2 linked regions of the Arabidopsis thaliana genome follow. The protein of the gene in region 2 interacts with the protein of the main gene of each other region in a biochemical or structural test. Each region holds a gene or a part of one and is shown on either strand. Other genes may lie near its edges. The genes, in order: ANK6 and SIGE.

The links.
Region 1: the proteins of SIGE (region 2) and ANK6 form a complex in vitro, tested with the Arabidopsis thaliana proteins (one study listed by BioGRID).

Annotation. Positions count from the first base shown.
Region 1 is NC_003076.8:24,625,341-24,640,800, forward strand, and holds ANK6 (Ankyrin repeat family protein), read left to right. Parts: upstream 1-1,846; 5' UTR 1,847-1,990; intron 1,991-2,437; 5' UTR 2,438-2,913; coding exon 2,914-3,438; 3' UTR 3,439-3,628; downstream 3,629-15,460. Other genes in the region: SNAP33 (soluble N-ethylmaleimide-sensitive factor adaptor protein 33), read left to right, coding at 1-26; AT5G61220 (LYR family of Fe/S cluster biogenesis protein), read right to left, coding at 717-980; AT5G61240 (Leucine-rich repeat (LRR) family protein), read left to right, coding at 4,145-4,229, 4,576-4,723, 4,800-4,871, 5,045-5,120, 5,208-5,242, 5,329-5,400, 5,498-5,641, 5,738-5,818 and 4 more; GUS1 (glucuronidase 1), read right to left, coding at 6,954-7,337, 7,420-7,519, 7,617-7,742, 7,817-8,006, 8,084-8,317, 8,424-8,572, 8,642-8,825, 8,904-8,940 and 1 more; AT5G61260 (Plant calmodulin-binding protein-like protein), read left to right, coding at 11,769-13,259; PIF7 (phytochrome-interacting factor7), read right to left, coding at 13,533-13,655, 13,741-14,124, 14,219-14,284, 14,351-14,455, 14,533-14,953, 15,098-15,099. UniProt on the Arabidopsis thaliana protein: Promotes anthocyanin accumulation through interaction with PHYA, especially in response to far-red light, high light and sucrose treatment, probably by triggering A3G2XYLT/UF3GT expression.
Region 2 is NC_003076.8:8,158,350-8,173,809, forward strand, and holds the start of SIGE (sigma factor E), read right to left. Parts: upstream 1,995-15,460; 5' UTR 1,826-1,994; intron 1,815-1,825; exon of another isoform or gene 1,573-1,814; intron 1,450-1,572; 5' UTR 1,398-1,449; coding exon 690-1,397; intron 568-689; coding exon 421-567; intron 314-420; coding exon 77-313; intron 1-76. Other genes in the region: AT5G24130 (polypyrimidine tract-binding-like protein), read left to right, coding at 3,898-4,142, 4,326-4,440, 4,806-5,057, 5,138-5,476; SQP2 (squalene monooxygenase 2), read right to left, coding at 6,198-6,311, 6,439-6,717, 6,883-7,170, 7,320-7,538, 7,663-7,831, 7,960-8,137, 8,256-8,367, 9,129-9,326; SQP1 (FAD/NAD(P)-binding oxidoreductase family protein), read right to left, coding at 14,245-14,358, 14,526-14,804, 14,892-15,170, 15,337-15,460.

The sequences.
Region 1 (15,460 bases), about 16 Mb from region 2:
GTGGTCGCCGTTTGCTTGGAAAGTAGATGAACAGAGGGTTTATATGTTCATTACACTCATTCCTCGTTTGTTTTATTCTCTATGAAGTTGTTCTTTAAAACTGGAAAGATTCTTATCATGTTAAATACATTATTGCTATCTGTGTTTGTATTTGATCTTGTGACAAAAAACCAAAAAACTTATTGATCAAACAGAAGCAACTTTGGTATCGTTTTTATCTGTATCATAAAGCTTTCTCAAGAAATTCTGATAATAGATGAAATTATGAGTTTTAATCTCAGATTTATAACCTAAAAATATCAGTGCTAGAATACGACATAAGAATACAGAAACTCCAGACAAGTTGGAACATATGTTATGCAACAACTGCACAATCATGTGAGATTATTCAAAAGAACAAAAAAACCAGGAACTCTTCATTCCCTTTAGTCTTCCTCAGCTACAATCCAAGGGATATATTCCACAATGTCCTCTTCTTCACTTGTATAATGTCTGAAGCCATAAAACACAAAGACTACTAATGAGAACTAGACAAAGCAATCTGACATAGTTGGAAAGAACTATGAATAGAGGAAATAATAATCTCATACAAACACCACTTGTTCCCGAATCATATTCTCAAGCCACAAACTCGACAATCAATGAATATAAAGTGGCTCCAACATGACCATTAAAAACAAATAGCTTTGGAGGATATTGTAATGACAAACATACATCTACTGAAGCTTGACTTCCATGATGTTCTTGGTCTTGGGAGGATATGCCAAGTAAACCTTGAGCACTCTCTCAGCAACAAAAAGCTGTTTTTTAGCTTCAGCATAAGCCTCAGTCACCTTCGATGGGTCAGTGAGATTCTTGTTCATGCGGAAGCCATCCAAGGTCCTTCGCTTACTGTACTCCCTAATGTTGTAATCAGGGAATTGACGTCCCGCTCGAAGCAAGGCACGACATAGGCTAAGAACTTCACTACTAGACACCATTGCAAGATTGGAAACTAACCCTTAATTATACAAAGCCTGGTTAACTGCAATCAGTATAAGAACACAAAGAAGCTGAGATTAGCAATGCCGAAAAGGAAGAGAAGTAGTCAAGATGATCAAGGGATAAAGCTATACACTTCGACATGTAACAAGAAGTTATATAGATAAGTGAAAAGTATTAAGGACCAGTACATCATTTATAGAGCAAAAGAACCTAGATTCAGTAACATTAGTATATAGATAAGTATTGATTTGAGTAGTGTATATAAGGTATGAGAACCAGTTGCTGCAACATTAGAAACTAGGCACTAGAGTTCATGAAAATACGCAAAAGAACCAATATTAACTAATCGCAAACGCTTAAAACAATCAAGAAGAAACCTTAAAAGGCCATAAACGCACTTAGTAATCCTAAACTTCAGTAAAATGGATGAAATTGCAGTCACAGCCAAAAGAGACAATACATCTGAATCATGAGAGGATCCGATAAGCATAGAATTTGACGATAACGAGCTCCAGATACATATACATACCGAATCAAATCGTCGGAGAGTATTAATTTCCCGAGCTCGCCGTTGAAGTTCTCCGTTCGAAGGTTTTGATAGCAGCAAGCTGGGTCGTTCGGGGGAATAAATAAACTTTTAGGTTTACCCAAAACTAAACCGGGAAAACTGATTTGGGAACCGGATCAATTTTAGATTGAGTAAGAAAAGAACCGGTTTTAGAATGGGCTAGACACAAAGGCCTGTTAAATTGGGCCAATATGTGATAAGCCAGCCTTTTTTAATGAAGGTGTATGAGCTGGCATATTCGACAAGAAATAGTAAACAAAACCGATATTTATCATTCTCTGTCACGCCTTCTTCCTTCTCTACACGAATTCGATTCTCTCTTATCTCGACGAGAAAACCCTACTGCGAAAAAACTCCGATCTCTCTGGCGAGAAGTAAATTTTTATCTCTGAGCTTGGTTTCACCATTTCTCTATCTCTATCTCCTCGCTGGGTTACGGTACGAGCCTCTCAAACTTTTCGATTCCTTGTGTTCATAAGTATGTGTGAAAATCCTTGCGTGTCGAGATTGATTTTTCTCTTTTTCGTTTCGGATTCATCGTTGGATTCTTATTTCGTCAATGTTTTTCTGTGATTTGTTCTGATTCATGTGTAATTTGTAGCTGACTTGATTGGTGATCGATGATTAAAATTTGTACTCGTTAGTTCCCCCTTGATTCGATTGATTTTGTCTCTGTGAGGGTATTTTTTCTGATTCTATTGTATTGTTTGTAGATTTGCCAATATTAGAGACTACAAGTGTCGTAATTGGATTCTGAATGAACTTTTGAAACTCTACACGAGCTGGATTGTTGTGTTATTTATATTACAGAGAAATTTATAGCATTTTTGTTGTGTTCATCTGGTTTTCACTAATTTGGTTTTCTTCTCCATCTTTTGTTGATAGGTTTGGTAAGGTCAGTGTTCTCTAAGGCTGAAATTTGGGGGTTTCTCAGTCTCGATGTGGTCGTGCTCCGTTAGGATTCTTCACAATCATTAGGGTTATATTTCTTACAAACTGATGCTCATTTTCTCTTCCCTGTCTATGGCTTTATCTGTGATCCTTCAAAAGCTTAGTGTCTTCGGCCCTGGTTTGAATCCTTCTTTCCCTTACTGCATCGCCAATCACTCCTTTGCCTCCCGTTAATTGAGTTGCTCTCTTTCAACTTAATTACATTAGTCTGCTTCCTTTGCTGTCTAGTCTGGATAGTGTTGCAAATCAAGTAGTATCTTCTTTAGACATTCTTGGCTGAGAGATTTACACTAAAAGCATAGAATAAGAAACCCCTGTTTGGTTAGTATCTACCCGAGTCTCGTAGTCCTACACAGATCCGGATCCTAGTTTCGAAGCTAGTTCTTGTTTAGCTGAAGCTCAGACCCAAAATGCTCCAAGAACCGTCGGCTGCATTCTCCCTCCGGCGTAACTCATTCAGACGCCGATCTCCCAGATCAAATGTCGATGACAGAGGCTGGAATCCGCTCCATATCAAAGCCAGAAAAGGCGATCTGAAATCTGTCAAGCAGCTTCTCGACCAAGGAATGGATGTGAATGCTCTAGCATGGGGACCCAAATCAAAAGGAGTGAGTGCACTTCACCTTGCAGCAGAGGGAGGTCACATTGAAGTCATGGATTTACTCCTAGAACGTGGGGCCAACATTGATGCTAAAACATGGGGCTCATGCGGGTGGACTCCTCTCCACGCTGCAGCCAAAGAGCGGAAGAGAGAAGCAGTGAAGTTTCTGGTGGAGAACGGCGCATTCTTGGCAGATGATATAACTGATACCAGGTTTAATCCGCCGGTGCATTACTGTCACGGCCTTGAATGGGCGTACGAGGAAATGAAGAAGCTTAACAGCGAGTCTTCTTCTTCATCTGGTGGAGACACATCTTCCAGTTCTGACAACTGAACTTCTTCTTGGTTGTTTCTCGGTGTGTTTTGTTTTGTTTTCTAGTTGAGACTACTTATCAGAACTATTATGGTTGGTGTTTGATCTTATGGGCTATGTGAAACATTGAAACTGCGGATACATTCATGTAATCTTCAGTGTGTTATTTTGCAACTCCAGTTTGATATCCTAGCCGAATTTGATTTGTTTAACCGGTTCTGGATCAACCAAAAATATGAGATAATCGGTTTTGGTCTCTTATGAATCATTAAGTCTAAAAATTAATGCAGGTAATTGACATAGTGTGATTTAACATAATTGACATGGATATGTATATAGCTAGATTGCGAGGATGAAGCAAAGTTTTGCTCTTAATTGAGTTAGCACCATATGTTTCTAATCATTGTCATTTGTGTCTTAGGACATGTTTAACTAATTAAGGTAAGGAATGCAATAATTTTACACAAATGACAATTATTTGGTCGATACCCATTAACAAGATTGGTTCTATCTCTTCAATGAATGATTTGGTCGATACCCATTAACCAAAAAGAAAACATCCGGATCATTACCAGACCCGTCGGTGAGATAGCGGGTTTGAAATACACGGTATTCGGTTTACGAATCTCAGGAGGAGGAAGAGAAAATAAAAATGAGTTTTTTAATTTCGCTCTCTTCTTAGATCCCGTTTGTTCTCTTTCTCACTTTGGCTGTTTAAGCAAAAACCATGGCTTCTCGCTGTGAGCTACTTCTGATCTGCGTCTTCTCTCTCTTAATTGCTTTTGCTCACTCCAAGACATTGAAGCGAGATGGTAAGTTTTTACTTTAATCACCCTCTGGTTTTGTGTTTATGATCGATCCTCCATTGATTGAATTTGTATAGCTCTTTAACAGATTTGGTAGATACCCATTATCCAGATTCGTTCTATCTCTTATCAATTTCCATGATTTAGCACGCAAGTTCGATCCTTTTTCTTTCATCTATTTCTAATCTGAGCTGAGCTGAGCTCAAATTGAGAAATATTAATTATGTGTGAACAATGATTGGATCTGATACTATTGGTCTCAAGAAGTTTGTTATATCTCTGCATCATGGTAGTTGGTTACTACTGTATCTTTTATAATCAGCTTTCCTCAAAGTTAATCTCTTGTGGACAGTGAAAGCTTTGAATGAAATCAAAGCCTCTTTGGGATGGAGAGTGGTGTATTCATGGGTTGGTGACGATCCTTGTGGAGATGGAGACCTTCCACCTTGGTCTGGTGTCACGTGTTCTACACAAGGAGACTATAGAGTTGTCACAGAATTGTAAGTTCTGGTTTCTTCTCACTTTAGTGTTTTCTTTTGTAGCAACCTGATTTGCTTCACTGAATTTGATTTGCAGAGAAGTTTATGCGGTTTCGATTGTTGGACCTTTCCCCATTGCAGTAACAAACCTTCTGGATTTGACTAGACTGTAAGTTACTTTCTAAACCTTTTTATTTGTGACATTAGGTAGATTGATGCAAGAACTCTTTGAACAGATATTTCCAACCTAGTTTGTGAAACGAGATCCCCAATAATTCTTTAGAGTTATGCTGTTTTAAGATGGTTAAATTGAAACTGGTATTGGTTTCTTTGATATTTCAGGGATCTACATAACAACAAGTTGACTGGTCCAATCCCTCCACAAATTGGACGACTGAAACGGCTGAAAGTACTGTATGTTCCTTGTGCTCTCACAACGATATGAATCATTGATTTACTTCCTTTCAAAGTTTGTCTCAATAAGTTGTTCTGAGACCAAACTCAGGATCCAATTCTCTTCAGAGTGAACTTAGCACTTACGTGACAGAAGTCTGTTATTTGTGCCATCATAACATGTCAAGTTTCCAAATACTTCACCTAAACATTTACTCTGTTGTTATCACTAGAAACCTGAGGTGGAATAAACTACAAGATGTGATCCCTCCCGAGATTGGGGAGCTGAAGAGACTAACCCATTTGTGAGTACCTTAATGTTTCTTTTTACCTTCTGATGATCGTCCATTTTTATCCACATGAAATCATGATATTTTTTCTTCTTTTCTTTTTATGTTTAAGGTACTTGAGCTTCAATAGCTTCAAGGGAGAAATTCCCAAGGAACTAGCTGCTCTTCCCGAGCTTCGGTATCTATACCTTCAAGAAAACCGTCTCATTGGTAGAATTCCTGCCGAACTGGGGACTCTGCAAAACCTTCGCCACCTGTAAACACCAAATGCCGTTTTCTACATATAGTTTGGGTACCCTCCAATGATTTATTTACTGAGATCATGTTTGGTTTGTGTCCCATTATTTTTCAGAGATGTTGGTAACAACCATTTGGTGGGAACTATACGGGAGCTCATCCGTTTTGATGGAAGTTTCCCAGCTCTTCGCAACTTGTAAGCATCCCTTCAGAAATTTCCATTTGCTTCTCTCTTCCGTTTGATATATTCTTTTATGTACTACGTTTTCTCTTTTTAAAATCTCGATTCATTAGGTACTTGAATAATAACTATTTGAGTGGAGGGATTCCTGCTCAGCTGTCAAATCTTACAAACTTAGAGATTGTGTAAGCAGTCTACACTCTCCATCTCTCTGCAATAAACTATATCACTAGATCTCTGATGTCTGTTTGATTGGTTTTGCAGTTACCTGTCTTACAACAAATTTATTGGAAACATTCCTTTTGCCATTGCTCATATTCCTAAACTGACATACCTGTAAGTCTTTGTGCTAGATCGCTGATCTTTCTCTTTGTCTTTGATTTGCTTACTATCTAAAAGAAAATATGCATTCTAATGGGATCATGATGTTGATGAAACCAGGTACCTTGATCACAACCAATTTACCGGGAGAATCCCAGACGCATTCTACAAGCATCCATTCCTCAAAGAAATGTGAGTTCTCACCCAATTTTTGAAGAGTTCATCAAAGCTTTGACTCAGACAAAATAGCAAACCCATCGAGTATAAGAATTTGAACAATGTGAACTGTTTTGTGTGAAATCCATCTGGATGAGTTTATGATGACTGGTTTTTCAGAAAAGTTGAATGTTTTCTTTCTTCATTCTCCACTCTGACGATAAGGAGTTCTGTTTCTATTTTGCAGGTACATTGAAGGCAACATGTTCAAGTCAGGCGTGAACCCAATTGGTACCCACAAAGTTTTAGAAGTTTCTGATGCCGATTTTGCCGTGTGACCGGATAGAAGATTCCAGGAAGGTTCTCGAGAAAACGTCTCAGAACCACCTAGAGATTGTTCCACTTTAGCCCTCTTCACTATTATTATTTTTTGTATGGTCTGTGGATTTGCAAATGAAAGAAAGCATAAGACTACAAGTTTTTATCTTCATATTGTATAGTTAGACACATTCCACTAATCTATATTTCTCCTTAATCAAATGATTATATATATTTAGATTGGAATAAACCACTTCCAGTATACAATAGTATGTGTTACATCGATCATATATACAATTGCCAAGAAATTTACAGTAGTTCTTCAATGTTTGATTTTCACCAGTTACCATCCTCTTCAAGAACAAGCAGGAGCATCAAAGGTAGGCAACACAATGAAAGAGATCGACAGCGGATTGATATAAACCGGAGATTTCACACCATGACGGACCGGCTCAAGCTTTGGGATATCTCCGGTGGCTGTCGGTACCAAAGGTTTACCATTCAAGAGCATTATCTTGCTACGCAAGTCACCGTCTTTGGGACTCAAGTGATACTCTTCTCTGTTCAAATATCCGTCCGAAGCTTTGTTTCCAACCCAAGAAACCTTGCTCTTGATTGTTTCCAAGAACGATTTCCTCTTCATCGATTCTGCTTGCAAAACCACCTTCACGCCATTGCTGACTGCGACTGTAAACGTCGTGTGCTTACTCAGATTGATCAGAAGAATCGTTATACCCGCCTAAGATGATAGATTTCGCAGTTACAAACCGAAACTAGAGGATAGTTTAGCGACAGAAAGATAGAGATATATATACACTCACTCTTCTTTTGGAGCAATGAACGTAAGCTCGTAGATACTCCGAGGCAGTCGTCTGAACGCCGAGAATGCCTTTACCCATCAAACGATGCCAAAGAAGCGCGCTGGTCAGATTGTTCGAGATCAAGAAGTTTATGTTATGAACTCGCCTACAGTAATCATGCTGGTTTAGGATTTACAGATTATACTTTATGAACTTGCCTGTAGTAATCTGGATTTGGAACAAACGTTTCCTTTTCAAGCAGACCGTAGAAACCTCCGACCAAAGCTTGTCTGCAGTATACTTTGGTGTTATGCTTCGACGAAATACCGAGCTGATCTAAGTACCTTAAGAGAAGAGTTCATTTTGTCAATAATAGAAACCGAGTAAAGATAGAATGTGGAATTTGATTCTGTCTTACCAGAAACTGTTAATGAATGTCTCGGAAACCTGACGGCCACCACTGTTAAAGGCTCCACCAGCTTCTCCAACCCAAGCAGCAGCCCAAGGTCCATGTTCTTGAATTGTTTGGTTCACATTCGCGAATAATTCCGAAATTCCGCTCAAGTAATTTGGATCTAGTATCTTATTCACTAGCTTAGGATCATTCCCTGCAACACTAAATTCAACATTGTTTAGGAATGCTACAAAGAGAGTCTCTTATTGATTTATTTTTCATATGCAGCACCTGGACCAAGATTGTATATATGATGAGTCAGGACATCAAGAACACCAGGCCCAGAGAGCCGAAGAAGCTCCGAGTACCATTGTTCTTCAAAGAATCCACCTGGAGCTACAACCAAAGGCTTGGTTCTAGAATTCTTGTAAACGTTCTTGATTACATTTTTCAGTACAATCAAGTCTTTCCCATAAAGCTCTACACTCACGCTTGCCCAAATCCCGCTTCCACTAAGCTCATTACCTAGTCAAGAACAGAGCTCGTGTTATAAGGACCAACACTAATATATAAGAAACAACATGGGCCAATAAGAAACAACATAAGAAAAGAGAGATCTAGTTCTATATACCAAACTCCCACGAGTCTATAGCATAACCCTTTGAGACTGTGTAGTTCATGAAATCCTGAGTGTTGGTATGATCCCAATCACCTCCCCACGCAGTTCCGTTGAGTTTATTTCTCCCGTGCAGCGCGTTCAAACCGAAAGTCACAATAGCTCTGTAGAATTAGAGTTAAGTCAATGTGAATTATGCTCTGCATAAAACCATACTAAGGTTTTATACTTACCCCGTTGCGTTGAAGAAATGGTTAACTTCGTCCCAACGTTTCATATACAAACATCCTTCAGAGAATCCGAACAATCCGTCGTCAGTTTTCTTGAACTGAGTGCAAGGAGTCTTCAAGTCTCCAACGTCGTAGATCACTTGATCTTGCAAGGAACCACCTATTCTTATCCTCAACGTCCTAAAAGCTAACAACAATCAAAGTATTTCAGCAAAAGAAGTTTATGAGAAAATGAATATTTCGGTTTGTGATAGAGGTCACAAACCTTGAATAGCTTTAGCAAGAAGAGGAGAAGCTAAGTTCTGAGTCATTTTCAAAAGATTAAAAGAAAAGGAGAGTTTTTAAGGCATATTTAAGATGAAGTAAGTAAGAGTCAAATTAAGCTCAAAGTTGTTTTATATACCAAATTGATGAGAGATGCGTAACCCCAAGGACATTGATCATAGTTGCATTTTTCAGGTGGCCACCAATCAAGCGTTGCGCAGATAAAGTTCTCATCGGTCTCAGCGATTCGACGTGAGCCGTCTATAACCAAGGTGGTTCGTTCCATGTTGCTACCAAAAGTAACAGGAGGAAGTAGAAGCAGACAACTCAAGAACACAACAACGTTGAAGCCCATTTTGGTTTCTTTCGATTGGTTGATCTGTAAGAAAGAAAAGTGAACTTTTAGAGCGATCAAGAATTAGTAATCAGTTACAACCAAAAACATATCAAGAAGATGGAAAATATAATCCAAAAAAATTAGAAAAGAGGAATAATAGAACTGAAACCTGCTTATCTTAACAAGCAAATGATGATTACAGAGGAAAAACTTATTAAGAAAACTTGGAGGCTTGTTCAATGATATAAGAATTATATTTCTTGGAAAATTTATTTCGAATTTTGAGTTGAAAAGTAAACCATTAGTGTTTGAAAATTTGTGTATATAGAAATTTTACTTAATGTTGGAGGTGTATTTGTTAATGATAATAATTTTGTTCCTAATTTAATTAGATTAGTCAAATGTTGGTGTCAGAGAAGCATGGATAAGGGCATTAGTTGACTTTTTGGATGATTTAATCATTAATTTCTAATTTTAATCTTGTAACCTTCATAAGTCATAACTAAATATTTATAATTTATGTTTCTCGAAGAGATGATATGAAAATCTGATTGAGAGAGAAAGCAGAATGAAAAAAAACCTCAAGAACAGAAACTGACCTCAGAATCAAGGATCCATGGAGAGAAAAAGCCTAGACTGAAGTTAGAAATTGGGACTTTTGATTAGTTTGAACTGTGGTTGGATCTCAAAACAGAGCAGAGGTGCTTTTTGTTCTTGGAGTTGACAACACTTCATCAAAGTCTCTCTCTTTTAAGCATGCTTAATCTAATTAAACCGTTTACACCAAACCGAAACTGTACCAATTTTTTTGTTAATTGATATTCTATTGAAAACCATGAGAAAGCAAATGTTACAAAGGAGCCCAAACACACATTTAGGAGAATCAGTTTCTAATCTAAGGAGCCCAAACACACAGTTTGAATCTAATGAGCCCAAGTTCATTGGCCCATAAAGAATAAAATCAAGTAACCCATCTTGACATTGTATTATTGTGGGCTCTGTCTTCTCAATAAAACATTTTTTGTTTTTGTTTTGCCAAATTCCATATCTCAAAGATTTATTTTAGGCTAAATCATGATTATCTTTTTCGACGGCCACATTATCTATATTTAAAATCATTTTCTTGCGATATAACAATTCATATATTTTTTGTTCGTGGGTCAACACCTTGATCTTATCTTATTCTAAAGAAATTACGAAAAGAATCTAGAGATGTTCATTGGCAAGAATCATTCTTTAGAAAAAGTACCAAAAAGACTTAACTTAAGGTATCGGATCCCTTAAATGTCATACATATGAATATGATCTCACAAAGTAAAGTCAGTTTATGTAAAAAAAGAAAATAGTTACAAAACTAATAACTCTTTGTTTTTATGTTAAAGAAAAATTATGGATTTTGTGCTTTAGCCAAAATATCCTCCGAGCGATTGGAATTCCTTGTATGATAATATACTTTTGAGATTTAATATAGTGATCTAAGGAGATTATAGATTGAATTTGTCAAATTCATTTTTCGTGACCGATTATTCATGCATTTTTCATGATTTTGATATATAAGAGAGATTAATGAGATTTTTAAACAACACCGATTTTTTATTAAATGCATCCAAGTGTATCAGTTTTATATAAATGAATAAATAGATTATAAAATTAGGTAAAACATTAAATAACAAATCGAGCCAAAGTAAATTAAATAACAAAATTCTTTAATATAAAAATCAGAATCTCCCTCTCTCACAAGACTTCTGCACAAGAAGATTTCTTCCCTCCTCTGTGTATTTTTGCGTGTTCTTTTCCTAACTAATCAAATCTACCTTTCTTCTTTCTTCATATTTGTTTCCAACTAAAGATAATTTGGGAAAGCAATTTTCTGGTACACATATATACATTTTTCTCATATTTTACTGTTTTCTTTGTTTTTTCTCTCTTCTTATTCTGTGGAAATTCTCTGAGAGTTAGATTAGGCAGCAATCTAAAGGTATCTTTTTTCTTAATTCTTGATTTCTTTTTTGATATACGTTTTTGGTTATTTTTGTGTTTGTTTGAATTGTGAAACTGTTGGTAGGGTTTTAAGCGTGTGGAGTATTTATTGCGTTACTGTGTAGAAATTAGGTCATTGTCCTTCAATCTCGATCAGAAGTCAAATTTTTTATCTAAAAAAAGATCGGAGTTTTTTTCATTGTTTTGTAATACAAGTGATTAATTTTCGTAACGGATCATGATCAAAATTCAATTTTGTCGTTTAGGTATTAATGTCATTGATGATCAACGAGGAAATATACACATATTTGATCATGACTCTTAAAGTCAACATTTGTCCTTCTTTGAATGTATTGAGTCATCTTTGGTAGATTTTTGTCTAAAGATTTGTTCTTTATGATGTCAAATTCTAGAATCTGATTAGTGAATAGGTAATAAAAGACAAAGAATCAGTTTAGAATCCATTAAATTGTTCTAATATGCTCTGTTCATAAACGTCGAGATCTTTTTGGTAATGCACTCTGTTTCCTCTACAGGTTTATTTTGTCAATGGCTGAAGAGAATACTTCAGAGGTCAAAGATATTGAGAATTCTTCCGATACAAACCCTCCGAAGATGTCTGAAGAAGGCTCTTTGGAAACAGTACGTGTAAAGGATGTGGAAAATGTGGAAGATGTTATAGCTGTGGTAGCCAAGGATCAAGAAGAGATTATACCAGAGATTATTGAAGTGCCTAAGCCTCAAGGTGGGACTTTGAGACGCCATTCGACTGGAACGATAAGTAAACCGCAGGTTCAGTCCCGTTATCGTGGGAATCATCGTGTGGGTTCGACTCATGATTTATGTAAACATGGGAAGAAATGTGATCAAGATGATGCTGTGAAGCCGTGGAAGATTGCAAGGAGAAAGAGTGTTGAAGGTTCAGTTGTGATCAAAGTTGAGACACCAAGTTCGACAAGGAAGTCATTGGGGAGTGTGAGTAGACAGAGTCCAGGTATAACCAAACCGGATAGTTCTGTTTCTGCAAAGAGAGATGCCTTGGCTGTGAAGAAAAAACCATGTGCTTCTGTGAATTCAGAATCTAGCTCCAAAGAAGGTAGTGAGATAGCGAAATCTGTTGATGGTTTAAGCGTTAAAAGCAATGATAGAGCGCGGAAGAATAAAGAAACCGAGAGTGGTCTGAGTGGTTCAGCTGTTGTTAAGAAGGTTCCTGCCTTGAGAACTGATAAGTCAAGTACTTCTACGGGCGTTGGAAGTTCTAAGGTTTGTGCTCCAAAGAATCTGAAGAATGTGGAGAAGGCAAAGACGACTCAGACAATTAGCGGTGAAGATGTAAAAGAAAAGACTGTGTGTGTTGTTGAATCTAGCGTCAAAGGTGTTAAGAGTGAAAAGCAACCATCATCTGAGAAGAAAACCATGAAAAGTGGGAATAAAAGCTTGAGTACTACTCCTAAACGTGGTTCTAGTCCTACAAAACAGATTCCTGGTAAAATCAGTACCGGTTTGACTAAGAAGAAAGAAACTGGCTCTGCAGACGTTGTTGAAGCAAATCCAAAACCGGAGAAGAAGGTTAGGCCTAAGAAGACAGGAGTAAAGGTGAGTCTAGCTCAGCAGATGACTTTCAAGAAAGGAAAGGTTCTTGATCCTAAACCCGAGGATTCTTCTCCGAGATGGATCAAGTTCAAAAAGAGGGTGGTGCAGGAACTGAAAACGCAATCCGAAGGGAAGAAGAAGAATCTTAAAGATAGAAGATTGGGTGTTGAGACGAAAACAGATTCTTGTGAAGGAAGTAAACGTGAGAAAGTTGTTCTGAGGCATCGAAAAGTAGAAGGGAAGAAGAAAATGATAACATTGTTTAACAATGTGATTGAGGAGACAGTGAATAAGCTAACAAAGGTGAGGAAGCACAAAGTGAAAGCTCTTATTGGTGCTTTTGAAACTGTTATCTCTCTTCAGGACACTAATAAGACATCTCACAAACCTCAGAGCAAGGCCACAACATCTGCTTCTAAGGTTAGACCTTTGGTCTCCGAACAATGAAAGAAAGAAAAAAAGACAAAAGTTTATTTGTGCATATGATCTATTAACATTGAAGATTTTAAACTTCAAGAGCGACCAAGAGATAATTTTCTTGTTACTGTCCTCGAAATAGCAAAGGGTTTAGTAATGTACTTTGACAGTTACTGAATTCAGTTGTGAAGCTTTCAAGTTTTATCTGCAAGTCTTTTTCCATACTCAAAACAGTTTTTACAATCATGATACAACAATCTTTCAAGAACTATATATATGGATCAATAATACTAGGTCGCTAGACTAATCTCTTTTCTCATGATTCGAAGAACTTGAAGGCATGCCGATATTTACCTTTGTTGTTTGATCAGACTGTTGTCTATAGATAGCTGCTGCCATTTTATTGTAGAGATCCATATTCATTGTCTGCATCAGCATGGCCAATGGAAGTGAGCTCAAGATTTGTATATCTTTGAACACTTTTCTCGAAAACAGTTAAAAGCGGTCTTACCTGTGCGAAAAAGGCGCTGTATGGATCAGATAATGTGGCTGAAGAACCGTTGGTGCAGTCTCTGTTACCCATAGGAGGGACCATCATTGGTGGAGGAGGAGGAGGAGGAACTAAACCTCCATAACCATTTCCACCACCTCCCATTCCCATTCTTGCCATTGTTGCAAGCAACGACATCTGAAACTGTTGCTGCTGTTGTTGCTGCTGCTGCTGCTGTTGTTGTTGTTGTTGTTGGTGTTGGATGCTGAGAACTGACTGTGGTGGAGGTAGTTGCGGAATCATCATTTGTTGTGGCAAGTTGGCTCTTAGGCTCATGAACTGTACTTGTGCTTGTAGCTGTTTCAAGTGTTCGATAACATCATCCAAGATTGAGACTTTATCCGCCTGCAATATCCGAATAACGCGTTTAAACTGACCGATATCAATATAAACAAAGTTCTTAAACTTAAAAGTGGGTTCTTCTAGGATAGACATTTACCTTACTTGCAGTAGGAAGCAGCTTCTGAAGTGTTCTCATCCTCTGGTTTATCCTATCACGCCGTCTCTGCATCAAAACTCAGAGTCAGTAGTTTGGTAATCACGGAAAGAGAAAAGATGGATTAGTTTTTACCCTTTCGGACTCGTTGTGAATCGCTGCTGCTCGTCCCCGTCGTCCATTAGATCTACCTGCTTCTCCTCTTGTCTCTTGTTCATCTCCTTCAGTATCTTGAGTTTCCTATTAAAGTCCTCTTTTGGTTATTTCTCCAGTCATCTTTCAGGAAAAAAAGGAAGAGTAATTTTGTTAGTTGTTACCGATCCAGAGCGGAAATAGTCTCTGTCTCCGGTTCTAGCTGTCTTCAAGCTCCGACCGGATTCAAAAGACGCCCAAGACATATTGGTACCACTCGCACTTGCAGTGACGCTGTGGCCAACTCTATGGCTCTCCTCTTGAACAGCGAACCATCGGTCCATTTCTTGAGGATAACCGCGTTTTCTTGAACAAGATCCATCCTTGCTCTCATAATTGTGGTTTGGACCATTCGGACTCTGCAGCTGAAACTTGCTTGGCTGCTGTAGAGCCGCTTGATGAACCACAGACTCCAAAGTCTCACAACCGTTGAGACTTTGAGTCCAAATAGGGTTATTCGAGGTGGTTGGTTCTACTTCGTCGCCTAGACCATGAACGGTTAGTTGCCCATTTTCCCATGTGAGCTCTTTAACTCCATAATTCGACCTGAGTCACGAAAAAAAAGAAATTGGTTTTGTGTTAAGACTTAAGAGAGAGAGAGAGATAAACAAAAAAGGACAGAAGCGTAAGGTTTTGTCTCTTTTTGGTGTAAACAGAGAAGAGTTCTTTATCAGAAACAGAGAGAGATACATGTGTTACTTAGGCCGCACGTTTGCAGAGAATAAACTGACAATTAAGCTCTCTTTTTTTTTGTTCTCTCTATTATTGGACCTTCTCTCTTCTCTCTTTCTTCTTGCTTGAAATGTTGAGTTCTTCTTTCTTCTTTGTGTGTTCAAACTCTTGACAATCACAGCGACAACTCATGCGGTGTATCTGCCTTTGATCCATATTGAAAGTTATAATAAAGAGGCCTCTCTCTCTCTCTCTTCTTGTCTCCTCTTTCTCAAAAATGGTCCCTGCAAAACGTCAAATGGTTTTTATGTGGACGAAGCACATGTGTGGCAAAGGATTGTTTGTGTTTTGCCACTCAAGTCCAGAATCATCTCTCCTGCT
Region 2 (15,460 bases):
ACAAAGAGGAAATATGTAAGATCTCTGCAAAAACAAACTATTTTTGAAAAAGAGCCAAAGAGGGTAGGTAACAAACCGATTCAAGTCCAAATGGGACACGAGTGAAGTTTGAAGTTGTCATTGACCGTATGATGGCATGTCTAATCCAAAACAAACCATAAGTCGAAAGACGAAACTTCCTTTTCGGCTCAAAGCGGTCAATTGCTGTGATAAGCCCTCTCATACCCGCTTGACAAAGGTCTTGGAATTTTGGTCCGTTGGTAAACTCATGAAAGTATTTGTTCATAACAAACAAGACAAGCCGGAGATTGTGCTGCAACATAGAAGGAAAAAACACACACAATAAGTTCAAAGAGTTATCACCATAACAAATAGCCTTTATAAGCAAATGTAATGGTACAAATCTTTTGACACACTCACCTTAATAAGTTTGTTTCTTGCAGCTCTACCTATTTCGATTTTCTTTTTTACTTCACCCGCAGTCATATTGATCTCCCCGGCTATTTCAGCTTCCCTAGGCTCTCTTCCCAAGCTCTTTTGCAATACATCTTTCACTTCAAGAAGAGCCTACAATGTTAAAGCCCCAAACAACTTGAGCATGTATTGCAATGAAAATCCGATTCCAGCTTCCTAGTGAATCATCATCTATCTATAGAATACATACTAATTTCAAGAAAAGAGAAGAATACCTTCATAGGTTGCATCAACTTGAACAACCAAGCATGTTCAGTAGAAGAAAGAACAGGAGGTATCTTCATTTTTTTCCAGTCCAAGCTCACTATATCATTAGAAGCTGAATAGTCCCGCACAAGCCTCTCGATCTTCTCCTCTTCTTGCTGCCTCTTTGTTACTTTCTTATCAACAGAAGCAACGACTGGTTTCTCTTGAACGTTTCTCTTCAAAGCAATCCGTTTATCAAGACTCATACGTTTTTCCTTCTTCACATTATTCCTCACAACCACTTTCTTCTCCTCACCACTTTCTTTCCTTTTTCTCCTCCGTGAAACTTTGGCTTTAGAGCCGCCATCTTCAACATCATCCTCGACTAATGTGGTTGTTGCAGGACTAAGCTTGTATATGCTTTCAAGTCTTGCAGCAGCTTCATTGTAATCTACTCCTAACGAACACGAAGGAGCCGAATTATGTTCCAAGGAAAGCGGTTTTTTCGGGGTTTTACAAGGCTTTCTCCTCGTTACTTCTCTCTTCTTCTCATTATGCTTTTCAGCAGGAATCAAAACTTGCTCACGAGGAGGAATGATCAAAGCTGAATTGCTGGAATCATCGGCTTTAAAAGCAACAATGGATGGCTTTTTAAGTGAAGACCGATGTGTCAAAAGATCGTTGCCCAACCCGAGTGGAGATCTTGCAGCTGAACTTGAAATAGACACAACTCCCATCACAATCTTAAGGCTCAAAAATTGAATCTTTCTCAAAGCTAGCTCACTTGTGCTGCAAGCAGAAACATATCTCATATAAGTATAAAAAATGTCTCAGGTTGTTGACAATAACTTGCATCAATTTTACTACAGAACACTGATCTGAATCTAACTTTAGCAGATATAACTAACTTACTCTAATATGAACACTGAGAGGAACCAAAATGAAAGATTGAAACTTTCAATCAAAGATTCAACATTTCAACATGAAACTGAAAAATTTAAGAGCGATCGGGAAAACCCAAAATTCAGATTCCTTTGAATAACAGAGAATTCAAATGCAAAGTCGAAATCTTTCGTGAGCAACAACTGATCATAAATTGAATGAAATTTTACACAGAAAGATCTAATCAAGACGAAGTTAATGTTCGAAATCGCTTTTGGCGTACCTTTGTAAGTATCGCGGAGAGAATTTTTTTGTTCGAGCAAGAGAATCTTCGTTCGATTTTAGATTCTGGTTCACGAATTTTAAATAGAAGTAGAGAAAAATAAAAATTGGAGTGGAATACGAAAATATGTGTCGCAATGAACTACGTAAATTATGGTGTCCACAGATTAATAACAATGTGACGCCGTATTTTCCTGGAATCTGTTTATAAACCCCCAAAAGAATTTATTAATCAATTTAAACCCCTTTTCTAGCTAGACAATACGTTTCCGAACTACCCTCTTCCTTGTTATTGATCTGTACCTAGCATAAGTGCATCCTCATCCCACAACTCTATAAGCGTTTTTTAAACATTAACTAGTATTAAAATTGAAGACACTCTTTTGTCATGTGTGTCTTTAAAACATTCGTATCACAAAAAATAAGAATTTTTAACATTAGATATAATAAAAGTTAAGAAAAAACAGAGTGAATAAGAGAAACTATCTATTTTGAAAGACATATTTTGCTTATTTGAGACATTTTACATGTCAGCATTAATATTAAATTATATTTAAAGATACTTTATAAAATTTACTGATGTGAATGGTTTTAATGTTTCTAAAAAAATACAAATCTAAAATTAAAGACACTTTTCATTTTATTACTATTTTTTTAAAAGAGTTTTATACTTAAACGACACTAACTAATAAATGATCAACATGTAAGGTCTAACTAATTTGATGGGTGTGTTAACTTGTTGGCTACCATCACACCATGTAAAGCATCCGAGCTTGAGAGATTACATTATTAAATTCATTTTTTTTGAGTTTAAGTTATTAACTATAGGTTTTACCACTACTGCTTGAATACTTTTGGGAAACATGTTCATTTTTTATTATTGGGTTGCATGATGTTATTAAAAATCGAATATATGTTCCAACATTTAGTGTGAACTATATATTTACTTGATTTTTTGTCAACTTTTATTGTCTAAATTATTTTATAATTGAAAATTTAAAATTAATCAACACATCTATCGTATTTATTGATTAGATTACATTTTTTGTCAAAATTTACTTTAGTCTTTTTTCAATCATGGTTTAATTCGTTTTTAAAGAAAGTTTACGTAAATGTAAGAGTAAATCTAAATGTATTTAGCTATATGTGCAAATAACTCAAAGATAAGAGTAAAAGATGTAAATAAACTAAACTATAAGTTTGGAATCTCAGGAAGATCCAACGGCCAACAAGGCTTTAAACAAAAACCAACGGTTGCGAGAATGCACAAGCGGAGATGGCGAGAGAGAGACGACGTGGCCAATTTATAGTGGAGGAGAAGATATTTCAAAAGGGTCAAGGCTTGTGGTTGTGGATCAGGAATTATACACGTGGATGGTCTTCTCAGCAACAGTCGGACCCAAAACAAATAAAGTGGTGGCTCGAGAAGCGTTTACGTAGCCTATTATAAACCGATTAACATATTTTTTGAGCTTTTGAAAGTCAAATATTGTAATCCTAAACCAATTGTTTAGATAATTTTTATTTCTATTTGCGTTTTTCCGGCTTTTGGTATATCGCAAGAGTCGGAGTTACATAGTTGAAGAAATGTTAATGGCGTTATTAATTTATTTTAGATCACATCAAATTTTTAAATATATGAAATCTATATTTTTAAGTATTTAAAACATAGTAATTTGCAGATGTCAAAATTTAGTAAACACAAGATCTTAATAAATAGTTTAAATCAGACTTGAATAACCATAAATTATGTTTAGATTTATATTTTATTTAAACATAATTTATGGTCATGATCCATTAACATCTTAAACTTTTTTACTTTTTACTTTTGAGTCCTGTAAGATTGCCTACGATTGGCCCAACAAGAAGCCCAAATTCAAAATAGTATCTGGAGGATAAAACGACAACGTCTGGTACGAAAGTCAGCTATTTTCCACAATCTGCCACGTTCCACTTTCCTAATCGAAGAACGCCATGCACAAAGCCACGTAAAGCTCTCTCTTTCTCTCTGAGTCTCTCCCAGATCTCTCTCTCTCTCTCAGTCTCTCTCTAAACGCATAATCTTACAATAAAATGGTGAAACTCGCGACGGCGCGTGAGATTAGAACGTACGGCCCTCGGCTTGGGAGGAGCAGAGCCGAGTACATCAACGCAGGTCTATACTTGTTTGCAACCGTGGTGCTCATCGGCGGTTTCACAGCGACAGGATTCTCATGGGAACCAAGATCCGGCCTCGTCCTTATTCTCTTAGCTCTCGTTCTTATAACCGCCGTGAATGTTCATGATCTTGTGGCTCATCTAGCTGGAATCGATTACCGGTAAATGATCTCAAGAAGCTTGCTTAATTTAGTAACATTATTATTAGTAATCTTAATAGTTAAATTTACCATAATTTGTAAGCTCAAATGTGTCTACGTGTGATATATATAACTTTATATTCACCAATGTGGGGGATTAAGAAAAACGTTTTAGTAATAAGCTTATTGTTTATGTGATTTAAGGTTAAGGTTAATGGAGTATGATTTGCAACTGGGGCTAGTGGAATTTGCAGTCCCTCTGGTTCAGATAGCGGGTTCGGTAGTGTTTTTCTTGGGAATCTTTTTCGTCTTCCATCAGGTATAACACTTTTTTTTTTTGTTGACATTATAACACTTTTATTGTTGTAACAAAGTTTCCTGGTTCATCAAATTTCACATATATGCTTTACGTATTAGTCTATGAGAGATAAGAGAACTAAATTGGTTATGTCTCGGTGATATCACATTAATTTATAACAATTATAGCAAGTGTTTGAAGATAAAGCTAAGTACTTGTGGCATATTAATATGAATATATGATATTGTCCATAATGTTAGTTGTGGACTTGTGGTCCATGTAAACATAAGTAATAGAGTAAAATGTTGTGAATAACAACTTTTGATGTGTGTCTGACTAATTATATGTAGTCACATTCCGCTGTATTTTTTTTCTGGAGTATTTAGGCTGAGACAAAACGTGGATACAGTGGAAGAGAGCATCATGCATTAAACTTGCTGATAGCGGGTCCGTTACTTTGGTTGATAGGATCGATTCACAACTCATGCCAAATCTACGAGAGAGCGGATAGTCATGTTCAAATTCTACAGCAGTGTGTTTACATTCCTTTCTTGGTTGGATCCCTTCTATTCTTGGTTTCCGCAGTTCTCAATAGCCTCGACATATCCGGGTCATCTCGTAGTGGATTGAAGCTTCTTGTAAGTACTTGGAAACCAAATTTATCGCATAAAAAGTGGTTTTCAAAATCCGCTTCTTACGGTAAATAATGAATTTTCAGGGGGAAAGATGGATTTGGCTTGGGATTTCCGGGGCTATATGTTTGTTTGTGGGAGGATTGCTGAACGTTGTTAAGGTTTTTAACTTCGTCCAGATCTCTGGGCTCCGCCTCGAGAAACTACGGGGTGGAGCTCAAGACCGACTTCTTGAAGGGAGAGAAGGATATCTCCCTCTTGTTGCTGAAGAAGAAAGAATAAGGAAAATGGAAGCTGATCACGAAGCTTCTAGTAGAGCCAAACCCCGGGCACACACAACCTCCAAAGCCGGAGAGGGAGCTACAGAGACCGTGGTGGTATCATCTCCGACACCATACAAGGATGTTCTCGTTGGACAGATCTGAGGAAGATTAGTCATGTTTAAATGTTCTTTTGTACTCCATATTTGTTTTTAGCTGCGGAGACCACATATTTTGCCGTTCAACATATGTTATGTGATTCGTTTCCTTTTTGGTCAGTCTTTATGAATATTGAAATAGGTTACAATACATCAAGACTTTAGAAGAAGATTTGTACACTAGAAGAATATTGATCTTCTTTATGAATAATGAAATAGGGTCTTTATACCTATTTCTATTTGACGATAGAGATTGAACTTGAGATGATCATAGAAGATAAGAGTAAAATGGATGCATGGTATAGAAGGCTAGAAATTGAGATGCAGATCAGCCATGCACGTACCATGCATTGAACCGGATTAGAGAAACTTGGTTAAATTCCCTGTTTCACATTGGTTTAGCAGAGATGGTCCTGCCTAGGGCAAATAAGATTAACAATTTGGTTGTAGTCAGAAACTGAGAAATGTAAAATTGTGCGACACTAAAATCAGCAGAGAAACTGGACTAAACATTAGAAAATTTCATAAGCAGAAAATCAAGAATCAATAAATAGAATATAACAAATTAGCATGTAACATATCCATGTTTGTTTTCAACACAATTCAGTAGAGCTTAACCATAGGCTCAACTTCATATACACACAATTATTTATTTGGTTGTAGAAAGTTAACTGTTTGAGTTGTTATTTTTCATCTCCGAATAAAACAGTCTTCGTGTTATGGATTGATCAAACAGTGGTTGTGGCGATATAGTTCCTTCGATAAGCAGCTGCGTTTGTTGGAATCAACATTTCCTTGAATCCTTCATCCACTAAATGTGCACCCAACATTTGCAAAGCCCACTGTTGATTCACATAGTAAAAGTCATCATAAGAAACATGTTTTTATAATTTAACAACAAAAAAAGAGTTTATAACCGTTAAGAAGGTAGAAATTGTGTTAGATAGCCAAGAAAATAGAAAGGCTTACGGCAAGAATTCTGAGGCTATGCCAAAAGCGACGAGGCGAAGGAAACGGAGAGAGCAAGTGGCCCATGGACGTAAGGGTGATGGCTACAAGATGAAGGACTAGAGTAAGAGGGTGAGGGTTCATGCCTCCGAGAATAGTCATCAATCCCCTTGTTTTAAAATCTCCACGAGCTAGGTAATTGAAGCAGCCTTGTCGCATTCCCTCTCTTGCTTCGTCTGTTGTAGCAACAAGCACTTGTGAAAAGATACTCGCGAGCGTGTTCACGGTCGCTGACATTGGCTTTTGCCATCCAAAATCAATACAAATAGAAAGTAAGAGTCATACCACTAGTCCAACACAACTTGATAATAGTATATATGACATTCTAGCATACATAAATATCCGAGTCACTCCATTTAATTAAACCAAAACCCCTAGTAAAAAACTAAGTAATCCATAACTCACCTTGCGGATGATGTAAAAGGACTTGACAAGATCAGAGACTTTCTTAGTATTGCTGAGGTTAGGCAATGGTTTGAGAAGATTGCGTAGAATGCAAATGTCCGAGAGTGCAACCATCATTCCTGACGCGATTATAGGATGACGCATATTGAATGCATCTCCCAACACAATCACTCCTCTTTTATCACACAATCTCGATGACATACTTTTCGTCGCTGTTGATTTTATCTCTGGTAATCCTTCCTCTATGCCTTTCAAAAATATCTCCCGAAGATTTCCAGTTTCAGGTATCTACAAAACCAAAGGGATCAATGATATAAACAAAGTCATTTGAGCATAGTAATACCACTTGAAATCAAAATAATACCATTTCAACACCATGAAAATGTTTAAACACACCTTAAAACTTTTACTTAGACTATCAATAGTTTGCTACGTACCTGAGGAGCCATTGATTTCTTGAGGAAGGTAGACATTTCACCATTCGATATAGAAGGAATACTATCAGCGGGAACTTCGGCAACACAACGAACTTCATCACTGGTTATTTGATATATAACACAAACCAAAGGTTTAGAAAATATCAAATGTAGACTATGGGGATCTTCAAGTCGGCTATTCTTCGTGACGTAACCCACCATGTACGAGAGGACTTCCTCCTGTGTAAATAAATATATGATTATAATCCTTAAACTCAGTAGTTAAGTCGAGACCAATCTTTTTTTTATAGTTTATAGCGAAGAATAAAAGTCGACAATGTTTAAAAGATAACTATGTACTCACAGTATTATCCACGAGTGACCGACGAAGGTTCGAATAACAACCATCGCATACGACAGTAAGAGGTGCAAAGGCCGTTATTTCTTCGCCTGCGCTATTTTTGTATGTCACTCCTTTGACCACTCCTTCTTCTTCAATTAAAGACTTCACTGTTCCTTCTTCTAATTGAACACTGCCAAGGTTCATTGCATTTATATTAAGAAGATGAAATAGAAATCTAGTATATAAGAGTCGTAAGATTATTTTACTCATAAGTTATAAAAAGTATTACGAAAGAAAAGAAGTAAAATATGTACGTACTTGCTAAGAGAAGCTGCTTTTTGGCGTAAACGTTGTACCAGCCGACCATTACGTAAGAGTCTACCTACTGGCTCATGAGGAAAACTCTTGTCATCTGGAAAAGGCAATGTCGCGTGTTTTCCATCCTTGTATATTGCCAAGGACTTCGCTTCTTGTGCGTCTATGTCCTCCAAACAATCTTGTACATATAAAAACCCAAAATCGCAAAACGTATGTTTATATGCATATATGTGCTTGTGGCAAAAAGATCAAGCAATGTGTAGCAATAAATTTAAAGATGAAGTGAAGAGAGAGACCTTCGAGGCCAAGCTGGGCTAACATGAAGCGACCTCCCGCTTGCATCAGCTCTCCCATGAATCTTTGTGGCTCTTTTAAGTCCCTCTCTATCACATGTACTCGTCGTCCATCCTGCATCCGCATTCAAGTTAATTTCACATATTGAGTAACTAATAGGGAATATATAGAAAACAACATTTCTGTAAATAATCGTCAAAACTAATACTTATAATGCAAATTATCAGATTTTGTTTTTGCTTGCATCCATATTTTTCTCTTCCTTTTTTTTGATGAAGAAAAAAATAAAGTGTTGACAACCCATCTTGAAATCTATTTTTCATATATTTTTTTAAAAATTTTTTTTTCCATTTTATCTACTTTTTATATTTTTAATGTTTAAAAAAAAAAAATCAGCCTGCTACCAATTCTTTTATAAATTTAATGTTGGACCCACATTTTTTAAGAAACACTTTTTACCATGTTCATTGCTTTAATTTATTTCATTATATTCGTACCAATGAAGATCGAGCACTAGTTTTGATAAATAACTTTTTTATTGACATAACTTTTTTCATTGACTATCTGATAACGGTTAAAGATCTATCTCTAAACTCATTACAACGGTTAAGATAATTCAACCTATTTGAAGTTTGATAATTATTACACCCCCCTGAACCATACTAATTAGCCAATGCAACACAAAAAGAAGTATCGCCTTTGATTAACGAAGCTACGCAAAACACATAAAAAAACTACCAAAATTCTAGTGTAATCAGCTATGTAGGATTCAGAACATCGACAAAATTTGAACTCTAATTAATCATCTTTACCGCGCGACCACTGAATTCAGCGGATCTTAATTTCTTACCGACCAACTTATGCAAAAGATATACCTTAGCTAAAGCATAAGCAAGAGAAGCGCCTGCAACACCCGCCCCAACAATGATGACATCCGTTGCACCATCTCTTCTTGCTTCTGCCTCGGCCTCTAAATCTCCGGTTGCCGCCTTCTTCATCTTGATGAGGTGAAAAACCATCCATGTCAGAACAAAGGCGAGAAGCGTCCATAACCACGCGTAAGTCATTGCCATTACCGCTTAGTAATAATATATATGCCTTGTACCTGGAGTGAACGTTAAATATATAGGAGAAACCCACAATGTCAAACAAGCCAAAATATGTAATAAACTATAGTTCAACAGCTTGGCAAATCAAATGAGTCAGTTATATAGGCCGACATGAGATCACATCACAATCAAATATTGATAAGCCACCTATCTAAATAAAGCAATAATTACTTATTCTATATGGTTTCTCATTATAGTTATTCTATCTTCGTTGACAAAACAAAAATAACACGTGTTAATTTGCTCAGCATAGTCTCTTATAATTTTACTATTCAAGGATATATATAACTAAGGTAAACATATATACATACATATATATATATATATATATATATATATATTGAACAAGACTACAAGAGATGCCTCATGCATCCGTTTATGGGAAGCGACACACAAACAGAGAATCGCATAAGGGATGATATATTTTGAGCATAGACATTTATCGACTAGCACAACTCTTAAGGAGATAGTACCAAAACATTATTTTGTCAATCTATTAATGATGAAGGATCAGAAATATTCCACAGGTTTTATGTGTATTTTGTAAATCTTAAAACATAAAGGATGACATGGTTTCAGCTACATGTTGAAATCGGCTAAAGTTCATAAAATACATACTTGTTATTTGATTTATTTTTGAGTTCAGGTTAATATATAAACGCAAAAGATCATAGTTTGGATTGAAAAAAACGGCAACCAAATAGTTGTAGTTGAAAAATGCTGTTTTCCCATTCTGGAAACCACTCACGAAATGACTATAATAGTACTTTTATATTATATGATAATATAAGAAATATTATTCAATAATAACTCAAAATCTAAATTTTCTATGTTTCATTCTGAGTTGTGTTGGATTAGTAGAAAATATTAACTGCCTATCTTTTTTTTTGTTTATTTATGTTCATGAAATTACTTAACTATTTACAAGTTTTCTGAAAATCAAAATCCTACTTTAAATACTTAACTTCTATTTTTGGTACGTTTTCTTTTTTTCTGGAATAGTTTGTTTGTTAAATTTGCTAAGGTTTTTAATATCGATTTTTTAAAATCAGAATGTTTGATTACATAATTTTATTTGTGGAAATCTTCGTATGCTACTACTATATTTTGCTCCTTCCAGAACTTTAAATGGACTAAAAAAGGCAAAAAATAATAATATATATTTCAAAACTAACGTTTCTGTTTAACAAAATAAATAAATAAATACTAATATCTCTGTCACGTTCTGTAGAGCTCGATCACGAAATTTAATTTTGGAATCCAACAGCATATCTGTCATATCTGAATTAATTAATAAGAACGTGTAAAGCTATTTTTGTTTTTCTTTTGGTAGGAAGAAAGTGTCAAAGTTAAACTATTAATAAATGAATAGTCTCCGTCATTGCAGATCATCTAATTTAGTTTTTTTTCTTTCTTTCCATCATAAGTGGAATTACATAGAACTGTGGACAACTGGACATGTTATAATTTAAAATTATATCAACTTTCAAAGTTTTTAGATAATAAGATGTTACAAAATTTTCTACTCAAAAACAATCAAATTATTGAAATTATTATGGGTTGCTTGGAGCAAATGTTAGACAAGAAGTTTAATTCTCCGTAACTCCTAACATAAGTGTTTATCAAAAATACAGGTCTCAGAAAGTTGTAAACTTTACAGTATGTCATGCAGTCATATATTTTCTCGAGGAATAATTGACTTAGATTTCAAGACGAATTGCGCATAATTGATCAAATTAATGAAATTTCTTAATGATTGGCTAATTTTCTTGAAATGTTTAGAGGGTTTCAACTTTCAAATTTCATAGAGACCGGTTTACTTATTTCTCGCATTGAATTCAAGAACATATATATATATATATCTCGTTTAATTGGTAGTGGACACAGTAATTTTATGCTTGTAAACTTTTATTTTTTTAATCAATCAAGGAGTTCTCCTTAGTATGTCAACAAAACATTGATAAACTTTTTTATTTTTTGTTGTTGTTATTGTTAACCACACATTAATAAAAAAAGTAACTTCATAATTAATTATCCTATTAGGAGAGGATATTATTTACAAAAACAATATTAAAGTAAAAATTTAGAAGAATGGAGTAAACAGTCCAACTTAACATTACATAAATGAGAAATTAAAAAAACAAAAGCGAGAAGAAAGGGGGAAAAAGACCCAAATCAAACCAAAATCATCTAGATTGGAGAAAGCGGGCTAATCTTCAAGTTATATTTAATAAAAATTTATTGAATATCATTAGTTTAAAGTTATAGAAAATTATAAAACACAAAAAATAATATATTTAAAATCAACTTTAATACGTTTTCTTAATATGTGTATTTTTCTTAAAAAATCAGACTAAACAAAACAAAGAGAGTATATTTTAAATTCTATCTCATATATTTATCTAGTTTAGTTTATAGTAGAAACCTATGTTTCATGGAAACAGAAACAGAATTACGGATGCGAAACATTTCAGAAACGTGAAACATTTTTTTTTTTTCTAAAATTAGGGAATAGAAACGTTTCGGAAACATATACACACATATATATACTTTATACAAAAAAAAATATCAAATAGTTTAACTAATGTTCTAAAATATAAAGATTAAAAGGCCCAATATCAAATATTTAGACCATCATTTTCATTTAATCCATCAAAAATCATATAAAACATCTCAAATCTGGTTTGTCGGGAAAAAGATCTTAAAACTCGAATCTCCCAAAATTAGTTAAATCTGAATATTTCTAAACTATTTGTTTATTAAGTTTTGAAAATAAGAAAAAAATAAGATTTTTCGCATTTTCAAATCGGAAATCAGTTTCCATCGTATTTTCAAATACAAAATTTTAGGAAACACGTTTTCGTAAATTTCCATCGTGTTTCTGAGAATTTCTGTTTCCGAAACGTTTCTATGTTACATGTATGCTTGTAACTCTTTTTGTCCAGTAAAAAGAAAGAAAAAAAATGTTTGTAACTCATTTTATTTGGATTGGACAGTCAATTATAATTAATAATGAAAAGTATGGGCTTAATTTGGAAAATGTAATCAAGGTATATTAGCTAAACAAGCAAGGAAAATACTTAATAATCAAATATTTAAATAATAGATAATATTTTTATGCCGCCCGGACATATAATATATGTACTGTTGACTATATATTAATTAATCATATCACAGAAAATTTATAAAACGGATAAACGTGATAGAGTAGTATGATAAATAAAACGAACATGATCAAATATCATAGCTAGAAAAAGGGGAAAATGTCAGAGATAACCAAATCAAACCGTATACTCCAGTTTCCATATTTTAATACACAATTAAGAACTAAATATGGAAAAAGACATATTTGAAGGCCAGTGAATGATGTCAAACATGTTTCATTTCTCTCAATTTTTGTAAAACCTAATTTAAAAAAAAAATTGAACGGTCGTCTAATCTAGAGGTAATGAGTAGATTTCTCTATTTTTGTTTTCATCTCTTTTAAATATCTTAAAACTGTAGCATATATTTACCAGAAGTTATGGAGACTTGGAGAGTGTGAACATGTATGAGTTGGAGCGAAAATTACGAACAAAATCTAGATGGGAAAGCCATCTTTTCTATAATTTGCTATATATAAATGTATGGAGACGAGAGTTTCTAACAATAAATGTATGAACACGACACCACATATTTCGTCAACTATAGGGACCGTCTGCATTAAGATGTTGTCAATGTAAATCAGTTTCTTCGACTAATTTCTTTTCGATATTTCATCAATTTATTAAAATTAATTAGCTTTAAAATTTATTGTGGTTGAAAAACTTTTGTAATAGTTTCTTCCGATAGGTACATCATACTTCTTAATCTAATATCACATCATCCACAAAGCTGAATGGTAAAGTGTATGGTCTATGTTTGCATGACCTTAAAAGACCAATGAATTAAGTGTATAGAGAGGGACGAGACTATCACTTTTGTGGCTGCTTTTCATGAACACGAAAACAAAAACCTCACCACAGACTTTTTTTTTTTGATAAAAACCTCACCACAGACTCCATCATCTATTGGAACGACTGCGCTAAGATGTTATATCGATAGCAACAAATTTTCATCAGTAGTTATCTATTTTAGAAATAAAAATTAAATTAATAGCAATAGATTTTCATCAGTGGTTATCTATTTTAGAAATAAAAATGAAATTAATACTGAAACTAAAATTGAAATTTGAATTCTAGATATCAAAACAATAAAAGTAACTAGAACATGATGTAGTAAAATAAGATTAAATTTATTTTTATAAACATTATATTTCTCCTAATATGTTTGCACGTTGCAAATACTAGATGACATTATTCCAACTATGTCGAGTTTAAATTATTTTAAATTATTTATAATATATATTTGCTTATAAAAAGTAACTTACTGTGTTTAAAAGTAAAGATTATATTTAATAACGAAAAATATGTTGTGAAATATTATGGTTGCATTATAGTAGTTGATAGCATAACATCTCATTAGTTTTGCCACAATTTATAGATATATTTCTTTGAAAACTTGTTTTTCTTAAAATCTTAAAATTTTAAAATTTAAAGATATATAAGAAGTTTAAAATATCATTAGACTGTTTTTTTCTTTCGTAAATTCATTCTTATAACTTCGATTTTAGTATACATAAGAATAAAGATATACTGTGCAAGAAAACCAGAGGTCACCAATATACACAAGCATTCAACAGAATTAAAAACTCGTTTTATTAGTATTACAATTCCTTCTTTTTACTTTTACGTAGAACAATTTTCATTTATATGAGAATAATTGTAGAACACAATATATGCAGAATCACAAAGATTCGTGATTTATATATGTGTTATATTTTGCAGTTTAAAGCACCAGTGTTTTAGAGAGCCGTTGCAGCCATATAGCTTTTGCTATACGCGGCGGCGTTGACTGGAAACAACATTTGGCTAACTCCTTCAGCCTTGAGATGGGGAACCAACATTTTCATAGCCAACTGGTAATTCAAATAAAACATACAATTTAATTCAAGGAAAACAAATATCCAAATATAATAATAATATTGTCAAATATTAGTGGTAAGATAAAAAGAGTATTAACAAAAATGAAAAACAATTCTAAAGAAAATATTTGATATAAGGAGGGAGAGAATTAGTGACTTACACCAAAAAGTCGAAGGCTATGCCAAATGCGAAGGGGAGAGGGAAATGGAGAGAGTAGATGGCCAATGGAGGATAGAGTGATAGCACATAGATGATAGATGAGAGAGATCGGACGAGGGTTCATGCCGCCTAGCAAAGCCATCATCCCTGACGTGCGAAACCCACCACTAGAGAGGTAATCATAGCAACCTTGTCTCATTGCCTCTTTTGCTTCGTCCGTCGATGCAACTAGCACTTGAGAGAATGCATTTCCTAACGTGTTAACTGTCGCTGACATTGGCTTCACCAAAAAAAAAACCATGTATTCTTTTTAAAATTTTGAGGTTGCAATTTTGATCAAATTTTCATGTTTTAGATATATGCTCACCTTGCGGATATCATAAAAGGACTTGATAACTTGTGAGATTTTTTGCGCATTGCCAAGGTTGCTTAATGGCTGGAGAAGACGGCGTAGAATGAGAATGTCAGATAATAAAACCATCATTCCAGATGCGATTGCTGGATGACGCATGTTGAATGCATCTCCCAATAAAATCACTCCTTTCTTCTCGCTCAAAGTAGCTGTCATCTTCTTTGTTGGCATGGCTTTTATATGTTCTCCTTCATCAATCCCTTTCAAAAATATTTTGCGGAGTTTTAAAGGTACCTTGAAAAGAAATGTTCAAAAACGTTAAGACATATATATATGCATGTACTTATAACAAATTTAGAATGTGTATATGTATTACTTATCTACTATGTACACAAACTTAGTAATATAGTTCTATATTGAGTTGGTTTTTTAATTGAATAAAGCCCAATGTGTAGTGTACCTGAGGAGCAATAGTGTTCTTCACGAAAGTAGCCATTTCACCATTTGAAATAGAAGGAATGTTGTTGGGGAGAACTTCAAAAACACAACGAACGTCGGTGCTGCTGATTTGATACAACATGGTG